Canis lupus familiaris: one gene and its partner. The protein of the gene in region 1 interacts with the protein of each later gene in a pairwise test. Links are inferred from orthologs where the notes say so. Each region holds a gene or a part of one and is shown on either strand. Other genes may lie near its edges.

Evidence for each region.
Region 2: the proteins of LMO1 (region 1) and PTPN3 interact in binary tests that used the Homo sapiens proteins (3 or more experiments, as listed by UniProt). The two-hybrid records come from large-scale screens. The link is inferred for Canis lupus familiaris from reciprocal best matches to the Homo sapiens genes LMO1 and PTPN3.

Annotation. Positions count from the first base shown.
Region 1 is NC_049242.1:32,367,810-32,372,599, forward strand, and holds the start of LMO1 (rhombotin-1), read right to left. Parts: upstream 3,335-4,790; 5' UTR 3,250-3,334; coding exon of another isoform or gene 3,228-3,249; intron 2,759-3,227; exon of another isoform or gene 2,141-2,758; intron 1-2,140. UniProt on the Homo sapiens protein: May be involved in gene regulation within neural lineage cells potentially by direct DNA binding or by binding to other transcription factors.
Region 2 is NC_049232.1:64,876,492-64,880,708, forward strand, and holds part of PTPN3 (tyrosine-protein phosphatase non-receptor type 3), read right to left. Parts: intron 3,662-4,217; coding exon 3,605-3,661; intron 2,570-3,604; coding exon 2,413-2,569; intron 791-2,412; coding exon 630-790; intron 1-629.

The DNA of each region.
Region 1 (4,790 bases):
AGTTCCAAGAGGGGATGGAAATATTAACGGATTTTCTATAGGCCAAGGAAGGCTTCAAATAGATGTGTCAGAGGTTCATCCCTGGCAGACACTTCTGAGGACTAGACCCAAGCAAGGATAAGGCAATGACCAGCAAGTTGGGATTTCATCCCATCTCTGCCTATGACTAATGGTGGACCTTAGCAAATCACTTTGGCTGGGCCTCAGTTCCCTGTTTGTGAAGTGGGGCACCGGCTGTCCAAGGTTCCTGCAGGGATCAGATGAGCTAGTGTACGTGAATGTGCCTTGTAAACCATGGCATCCAACGATGGGGGGAACTTACTGAGTATAAATGAGACCTGGAGGCCAGGCTGTGCCCGGTAAGCCCCGGGAGGCCCCAATGCAGGGTGCCTGACAGGAGTAGGAATGGGGGAGTGGGGCTGCAGCCCATCTTCCTCTAGCCTAAGCGGGGAAGTCAGGCTTTAAGAAAACAGAAGAGAGGCTGCTTCTAATGAGATGCCTCATCCGCAGCTCAGAGGGTTTCGCTTTCCCCTTCATCTTGAATACTTAATCCTAATAGTCCTTGAGTATATTTGATGTTAAATATATCATTTTGCTCAGCCTCACTGTCCCTCAGGACTGCGAGCTTGATCTCTCCCCTGCCACTGCAGCCAGACTATACCCCGAGGGTCTGAGGGAGGCTTTGACACTGTTGCCATTGGCACGTTTGGTACCAACCCCTCACCCCAGCCTGAGCTGGGGGGCCAGACAATGTCACAGGCAATCGGCTGACAGGCTGGCAAGGGGTAGCTTCTTGCTGTAGATGCCTCTGTGCTCCCGGAAGGCATTCGCTCAACAAGGCCTGTGGCTTTACTCTCCAGTTCCAGGGCGGCTTCTCCTCTCTTTCAAGGCTCTGGCCCTGACCCACAAACTGGGACTTGACTAGCTGAAGGCACTTGTCCACTCTCTTCTTCATGTGTCGGGCTTGGGGCTCTGTCCCTACAGCAGCTCCCCCCAGTCTCCAAGATACCAATTAGCAGCCACCCAACTGGCATCCCTCTAGGGAGTCAGGGACCCTGTGCCCCACTTCAGGGACTGGAGTAGGCCTGGGGTGCTGAGCCGTGGGCTAAAGAACCAGGTAGTGTATGTCAGCAGATCACAGCTGTGTGTGAAGGGCTGCTTGTGTTCATAGGCAGCTCTCTGTACCCCCAGTTGTGAGCACTGAGCTCCCACAGTGATCTGGAAAAAGGCCTCCACAGAGGCCTTCCACTTGACAGAGCTACACAGCAAGCCTTGAAACGTTTAAGTGACTTGAGCTCTTAGCTTGGAAGGGGCCTGCCAGGTGGACAGAGCTAGACACAAGCATTCAGCATCCCATCCAGCATCCACCCTCTCAGCTCATGGGGAATTGCTGGGCAGGCAGGTAAGTCCTGTGCCTGGGGCCCCCACCCAAGCTGCCTCCAGGTCCAGGATCCCCTGGGGCTAGGAGAGGTAGTTTGCACCCAACACAGTTCATGGGCAATGAGCATGCACGTACCCTCAAGTCAACATTGCCAAGAGTGCCCCAGAATGTCCTTGAAATGCCTCTGGGGACAGCAGAGGGAGACCAGCTGATCAGCCCCCAGGTCATGGTGAGGAGAAAGGAGGTGCTACCAGCTGCCTTTCAAAGTTCTGGGCAGGTCCTAGCAGTTTGTCGCTGCACCTGGCAGGAAAGTCCTGATGAAGGGTTCTTGCACTGGGTTTGGGAGGTGTGTGTAGGGGAAGGAGACTCTCTGCCCCAGGGCCCAGGCAGACCAGATATTCCAGAACAGTGGTGGCTGTCAGATGTGCCTCAGCCTGAGGGCCCTGCTTCCAACACAGTACAGCTGTCTCCAAGATGGGGTTACAAGCTGGCTTCACAGGTGACACTCAAGAGGTATTTGGACTGACAAGGGCCCCTTCCCTGTGGCAGCCACAGCTGAAAGGACAGAGTGACCCTACAGATTTTGCAGTGCAATCCGGATGTCTGCTGGCCAAGTTCAGATGTCCTGCCCTGCCCCCTACTAACAACACAAAGGCAGCCTAAACACAGGAATTGGCAATCAGCTAGAGTGGAGAAGTACACAGTTGACAAACTTTCCTCCTTTGGTTTCTGGAAGCCCTTCTAGGAAGCTGCACTGTTAGACCTGGTGGAGGCCAAGGCCAAATCTGCACCCCAGAAAGCAAGTCTCTCCCACCCTCCTGATGAAGGCCAATCCACCCCCTGCACAACAGCTCTGAGAAGGTTGTGGATGTAGGCTGACCAACTGTCTTGGTTTGTCCCAGCACTCAGGGGTTTCCCAGGAGGCAGGGCTTTCTGTGCTAAAACGGGATGGTTCTGGGCAAACCAGGACAGCTGATGACCACAGTGGGAGATGGTAGGCTGGGACAAGGGACCAGCGGGGCCAGAGAGAAAGGTCAGGCAGCCGGGCCCTTCCCTGTACACCAGCAGCTGCCTCCCAGCCTCAAATTCTCCCAGCCTCCAGCACCAGGGCTTCATCCCCCAGGCGCTAAGGAACTGCCGTCCCCTGGGGATGGTCCCATGGGGCAGCCTGGCTGTATGTTCTCCAAGCCTTGGTAGTTACATGGGAAAGCTGTGAGTTGGACTCAGGGGTGGATTCAGATTTTTTGGGGGAGTCAAGCTTACTCATGCAATATAGGGGCTGGGGGGGGGGTGCTCTTCTTGAGAAAAGGAATACACGGCTGCTAACACAAAGTGACCACGGAAGGACTATGAAGCTTAAACTTCATCAGCTTCAAGGTAAACCCGCCCCTGGTATCCTGAGCGCCGCCCGACCCTAGCCCGCAGGGCACCTCCCGACGCGCTCGGCTGGGGGAACCTTCCAGGGGTGAAGCAATGTCACCCACCCCGCAGCTACGAAGTTCCCGATCCGAGGGCCCCCGGGGCCGGGCCGGTTTGCCTGCAGGTGCCCTGGGGACCCCCCTGGGGGAGCCGGTCCGCAGCGGGGGCGGCGGGGGCCGGGAAGCCGGGGGCTGCGGGCACTGCGGGAAGCCGCGGCGCGGGTCGCAGACGGGCCCGGGGGTCTGCGGGACGGCGGGACCGGAGAGAAAGTTCCCGGCCGGGGCGTGCGGGGCCGGCGGGCTCGCGGCCGCCCGGGGACTTCCCGCGCCGCCGACCGGCCCTGCGGCGCAGCCTGGCTCCCCCCCCCCCCCCCCAGGCGCCGCGCTTCCGGGGAACGGCCGCGGCCCGCCCGCGCCGCTGCACCTACCGTCCTCCTGCTCCAGCACCATGGCTCCCCGGAGGCGCCAGCCCCGCACCGGCCGAGGACGCGGAGGGGCGCGCGGCTCGGACTCCGCCGCCGCCCGCCGGCCTGCGCCGCTCCCGCCGGCCCCGCGCGGGCTCCGGGCTCCGGGCTCCGCGCTCCGGCCGGGGCCGGGGCCGGGGCCGGGGGCGGGGGCGGGAGCGGGCGGAGCGGCGCGGGCAGCTGAGCCCCGCGGGCAGGGAGCGCTGGGGGGGGGGGGGGCGGGGGCGCGTCCGTCCGCCGCGGGGTCGCGGGAGCCGGAGCCGGAGCCGCGGGAGCCGCCGGAGCCGCCGGAGCCGCCGCGCGCGGTTCTCCGTCCGCGCGGGCCGCGCTGGCCTCTGCCGAGTGCAGCCTGCGTTTCCCAGGGCCCCTCAGTTCCCCTGTTAATTAAATCAATTCATTATGCTCAGATCTGATTAGCGGCCCTTCCCCCCTTTGAATCAATTATTCAATACACAAACATAATTGCCTGGGCCAGAGGTGCCCGCCATTAGCTTATTTAACTCCAAGGACACTAATTACCCGCAGGGCACGGGAACTTTTCTCATTAATTCTGACAAAACACAAAAGCACAGCCAGAGTGCGTGTGAGCAGTGCGGGCGTGTGTGCGTGCGCGCGTGACCGCATGCGGGGGGCGGGGACGGGGTGCTGCGGGCCGGGGTTTGACACCCAGCGCGGGGACCGTGGGGTCCTGAGTGCTGCTGCGCGTGACTTCGTGAACGTGGCCCCGTGGCTGCTGCGGCGGGCGCCCCTGCCCTTCCTGTTTGCGTAACTGCCCCAGCATTGTCCGCTGCACAGTCAAGACACGGGGGCACGCGCAGAACACAGAAACGTGCGATCAGGAAGTGGTGGGTGGTGTTTCTGCAGTTCGGGCTGTCCTTCCCCCCCACCCCGCCCCTCCGGCCACCACCGCGCCCCCCCAGCCCACCCCCTCTTTAAAACCTCAGGTTGCCATGGTCCCCTTCCTTGACGCATCTCGGTTCAGCCTCCCACCCCAACTCACTCCACCCCTGCTTTTATCCCACAGCCCTCCCCACCCCTACCTCTATCCCTATTTCCACAGGTGCCTGCCACCCAGGCACGCCCCCACCCAACTCCACCCGCCCTTTGCCTAGTTCTCCCCTCCCGTCTGCGAGGCTGAGCCGAGGGTGTGTCTGTGGTTGACCAACTTCACGTTTTACCTCCCAGGAAATCTCTATTGAGAGCGAGCGAGTATGAGAGCCCACAGAGGCAGGGACACAGAGGGTAATTGATTCCCCCAAATTAGGTTTCTGCTTTCTAAAGACCAGTATTGTTCCTGTTCTCAATGTGCACAGAGGTATTGAAGATTTCCTTTTTGTTTCCTCAGGCAATGAATGAGCTTAATCCATTTGGCTTTATAAATCAGGAAACTAATATTCGCTCCTTCCATAGCAGCTTTTTAAAAAATTTAATTGGTGGGGGGGGCTCAGTTTGTCACCCTTATGCTGTCCCCAAGCCACCACTTATCAAAACACATTCTGACTGAGGGGTGGAGAGAAGGCTGGGAGG
Region 2 (4,217 bases), on another chromosome or scaffold:
CCGTGGACTTAAAAACCGAATCTCCTGTGTTCCCACTTTGTTCTGGGAGGGCCCTGAACTGAGCTGTGTCACAGGCTCAATTCTATGACTAGAGGTTCCTCCTGCAGAAGGAAGACAGGGTCTGCCTCTGGATTCTACTTCCGTTCACACGGTTCTGGGGGACCCGGGCAGGCCGGCTGCTCCGCCCTTATGGGATGATGCTACCTACCTGCTCCAAACTACAGAGGGTGTCTGGTGGGGTCAGGGACTGGCTGGCTCCTCCGCCACCCTCCGGGGCTCACCCACACTGCCTCTCCAGCACCTTCCACTGCCGAGCATTCTGAGCTTTTGTGTTGGCAGCTAAATACGCTCAGAGTCCCTCCTCCTCAATTTCTGACACGTTTCTCCATGGCTACGGAGCATTACTAGGTAAGAGGGTGAGGCTGAGTTCAGCACCAGGCTGTGGTCCCGTTCCCGGTGTTCTGGGCCTGCTCTGCTGCCCTGTGCTCTGAGTCCCCTGCTGTGTTCCCATGACGAGCACAGGCTGCCTGGAGACTTGGGTCACTCAGCAGCATCCGAGCAGCCCACGGAGACATTGGGCTGCTGTGGCTTCCCCACAGGCCCAGGACATGGCCCTTGTGGCCTCTTACCTCAAACTGGATCAGCACCGTCCCGCTTTCAAGGCCCTTCTTTAGCTGGTCCATGGATCCCTCCAAGGTATCCCCACCCTCTGGGCAAATGGGGAAAATGGCCTCTGGGAAAAGCTGGTTCAGCTCATCGTCGGATTTGATGTCAGTGAATGAGTGGACAGCTGTAGTGAACAAGAAAGAGTGTGTCTGGCAGGGGTAGAAACGTTCTGGTTGATCGGTTTCCTCAAAAAGAATTATACTTACGACACCTGAATGCAGATGGTTTAAAACAGCTTATTAAACGATTAAGCTCATGGTAATCACTTTCACCAAAGACACTACTTCTTGAATGATTCAGTAAGTGCTAATTATACAAAATGACATACTAATCTTTCTGGTTAGTCTTAAATGATGGTGTTTTGTACTTAGAGCCTTTTGACAAAGGTAAGAGAAAGGGAAAGTTTTTTTTTTTTTTTTTTTTTTTTGAGAGCGAGAGCAAGAGAGAACACAAGCAGGGGAGGGGCAAAGGGAGAAGTGGGCTCAACCAACTGAACCACCCAGGTGCCTGGAAAGAATGCTTTTAAAGTGGGGTGACTGGGTGGCTCAGTGGTTGAGCGTCTGCCTTTGGCTCAGGGTGTGATCCTGGGGTCCTGGGATCAAGTCCTGCATCGGGCTCCCTGCAGGGAGCCTGCTTCTCCCTCTGTGTCTCTCCCTCTCTGTTTCTCTCATGAATAAATTAAATATACATATATATATATATATATATGTATATTTTAATGTTTTTAAAGAGACCTCACTTTTTTTGCTTTTGTTCTGACCTGGTTACTCTTCCACCCACCTGTCTCTCCTTCTATTAACAACATGGTCCCACAGAGCCCAGGCGACCTCTACCTCAAGGCCATTGTCAGGTGGGAGGCTGTGGCATCAAGGTTTGGGGGGCACGGGAAGGGATCTGGAGAGATCTGGTGAGGCCTCACACATGCAGCACAGCTCTGGGCTTGGAGATTTATGGAAGCAGAGGGAAAGCAGGTATGAGGGGGACCGGGGGCTGTACGTACACCTGTGCAACCAGAACAGAGATGTGGCAGGGCCTCGAGTTACACACACATTTACCTTCAGTATTTTTAACCTGGGCAGAAGGATCCAAGGACTCGGCTTGTTTTACAACAACAACAACAACACAAATAATTGTATTTAACAGCGGCCATCCTTCAAATGCCCACCAGGTATCAGGAAGCACTCTAGGTGCTTTCCAAGTATAAGCATCATTCCATCTTTGCTAGAACCCTGTGACAGAGTGGTTATCGTGCCCTTATTCTACATCGGAGGGAACCGACGCACATACTTGGGTAAAAACTTGCTCGAGATCCCTCAACCCAACAGAGGTGGAGGCAGGATCACCCCGGGGACAGCCAGGCTCCTGCCCCACTTCTGCTTTACCGACGTCAACAGAACCCAACACTTTACGAAGGGGCTGAAAAAGCAAACATGTGCAGGGCCAGACGGCGAAGGGAGGGGCGTAATGTGGGGGGAGTGGGCCTGGGAGGAATCAGGGCTCGTGTCCTGGCTAGAGGGGGTGGGTAGGTGCTGCCTACCTCCAGAGCACTGGCCCTGAGGGGCTGGGCCCCGCGTGGGCGCATCTTCACATTTTTCAAGTGAGAAGTCCCACATCCTGGTTGTCAGGCGAAAGGTCTCCATTTTCCAGTGCTGGCTACGAGCTCAACATTTTCAAAACCACGGAATGGGCCAGAGAGGGCCCTGCTTCCCTGAGGCCCCGTGGCTCCTCCCCTGCGGTGGCTGTTACCTTTCCTCCGGATCACCAGGGCCAGCTCCCGCGTGTGGGACTCCCGGCTGGCTTTGATGAACATCACCACCTGGTCATGGGTGTGCTCTGAGATGTCCCGGCCATTGATTAAGACGATTTGATCCCCTTCGTTCAGCTTAGGAATGCAGGTGTCCGCCTGGGTGGAGAGGAAGAGCGAGTTTCTTCGGTTACCATAACACAATCCTCAAGGGCAGGACGCGGGCGCTCTCGGAGCCCAGACACCTGAGACCAGGTGCGGGTTCTGGTCTCCCTCGGGGGCGGCCGGGCCATTATTTTTACATCCGCTGCTACGCGGACGTGGTCGCTGGTTGTGGGAGTCTAAAGAAGTGCTGCTCACGACCTAAGTCATGCGGCATTTCGGAATAAAGCTACGCAACGTACTGAAGCCATTTCTCTACGAGAGCCAACCTTCACCTATTACTGTAATGTCGTCACCGCGAGGCTTCTGATCTTTTGTTTTCTCGATGTGCTGCTAGAAAATGGCTTGTCAGCCGAACGTGAGCGTTTGTCTATCTTGCGGTGGAGAAAGCCTCTGTCAGCATAAATAACCCCAAAGGCAGAAGCCAGCACGGAGAGAAGAGTGCACTGAACAGTGTAGGAATGGAAGCCCTCCTGACCTGTGGGGCCATAAGCAGTAGGAGAAAGCAAACTACGTGCTGAAGGACCACTTACGAGTAAAACCCCCGAACTAGTTCCTCCTTAGGAGACGCAGTGAGTGACTCTTGGCTGCTCATCTGCTCCAGAAAAGCAAATCCTCTGAGGAGGCCTACACGGAGCGCAGAGGGCAGGGTGCTGCTGGTGGGACGGTGGGTGCACGTGCACAGAGTGAGCAGAGCAACACACTCTGCGCCTCAGTTTCCTTTTCTTGAGAGTACTTCTGAATGTTAAAGTGCACACCAATCACTCAGGAATCTTGTTAAAAATGCAGACTCTGGTTTGGGAGGTCTAGGGTGGGGCCTGAGATTCCGCATTTCTAATGAGTTCCCAGGTGATGCAGGTGCTACCCTGACTAGCAAAGTTCTGGAAAAACATGGGTTCCACACTTTCTTTCCATCTATATGCATGCATTTACACACCCCCTTTGTTGCTGGCAGAGAAACAGGACACAGAAATAGGAACGTTAGATTTAATAGAAAACAAACGTAGGCGAGAACGAAATATGTTCACTTACAGGTGACTCTGGGTTTATCCTTGATACCACAAGAGGCATCTTTTGATCCACTCCTCCCTATAAACATGTTAAATTAAAAAAAAAAAAACAACAGAAACACTTGAATAGCTCATAGCAACAAAGACATGCAGATACTGCTGACACATGGAGGGTTCAAATTCCACTTTACCCTATTCTAAGCCCAGGGAATCCTTTCAGAATTACAAGTTTCCTGACTCCTTGGGGTCTAGTGGGATAACCAGAAGCCTCTCACTGCCACCCCTACGATTCCATGAACTAAAGATGAGCTCGGAGGGGTCAACGTTCTTTTTAAAAATGCAAACGTGCTTAGAGGACTCTAAAAGCACAGCCTAGAAGTACTGCTGGGAAGGGAGTTTCCAGCATCATTGGAGAGAGAAGCTGTAGGAAGTCGTCACATGCCTGAGGGCAGGTTCCCAGCACGGGGCTGGGTACAGCACAGGGACTCCGTGGTGGCAGCGGAGACCACCTGCCCTCATTCTGCTCTAACTTTGTAAAGGGCCTGAGGGTACCCAACATTTTAGGTAAGGGAGTGAGGGCTCTGGTGCAACTACTGACCTCTGCCACCACGAGGCCAAGAGAGCCACAGACCATT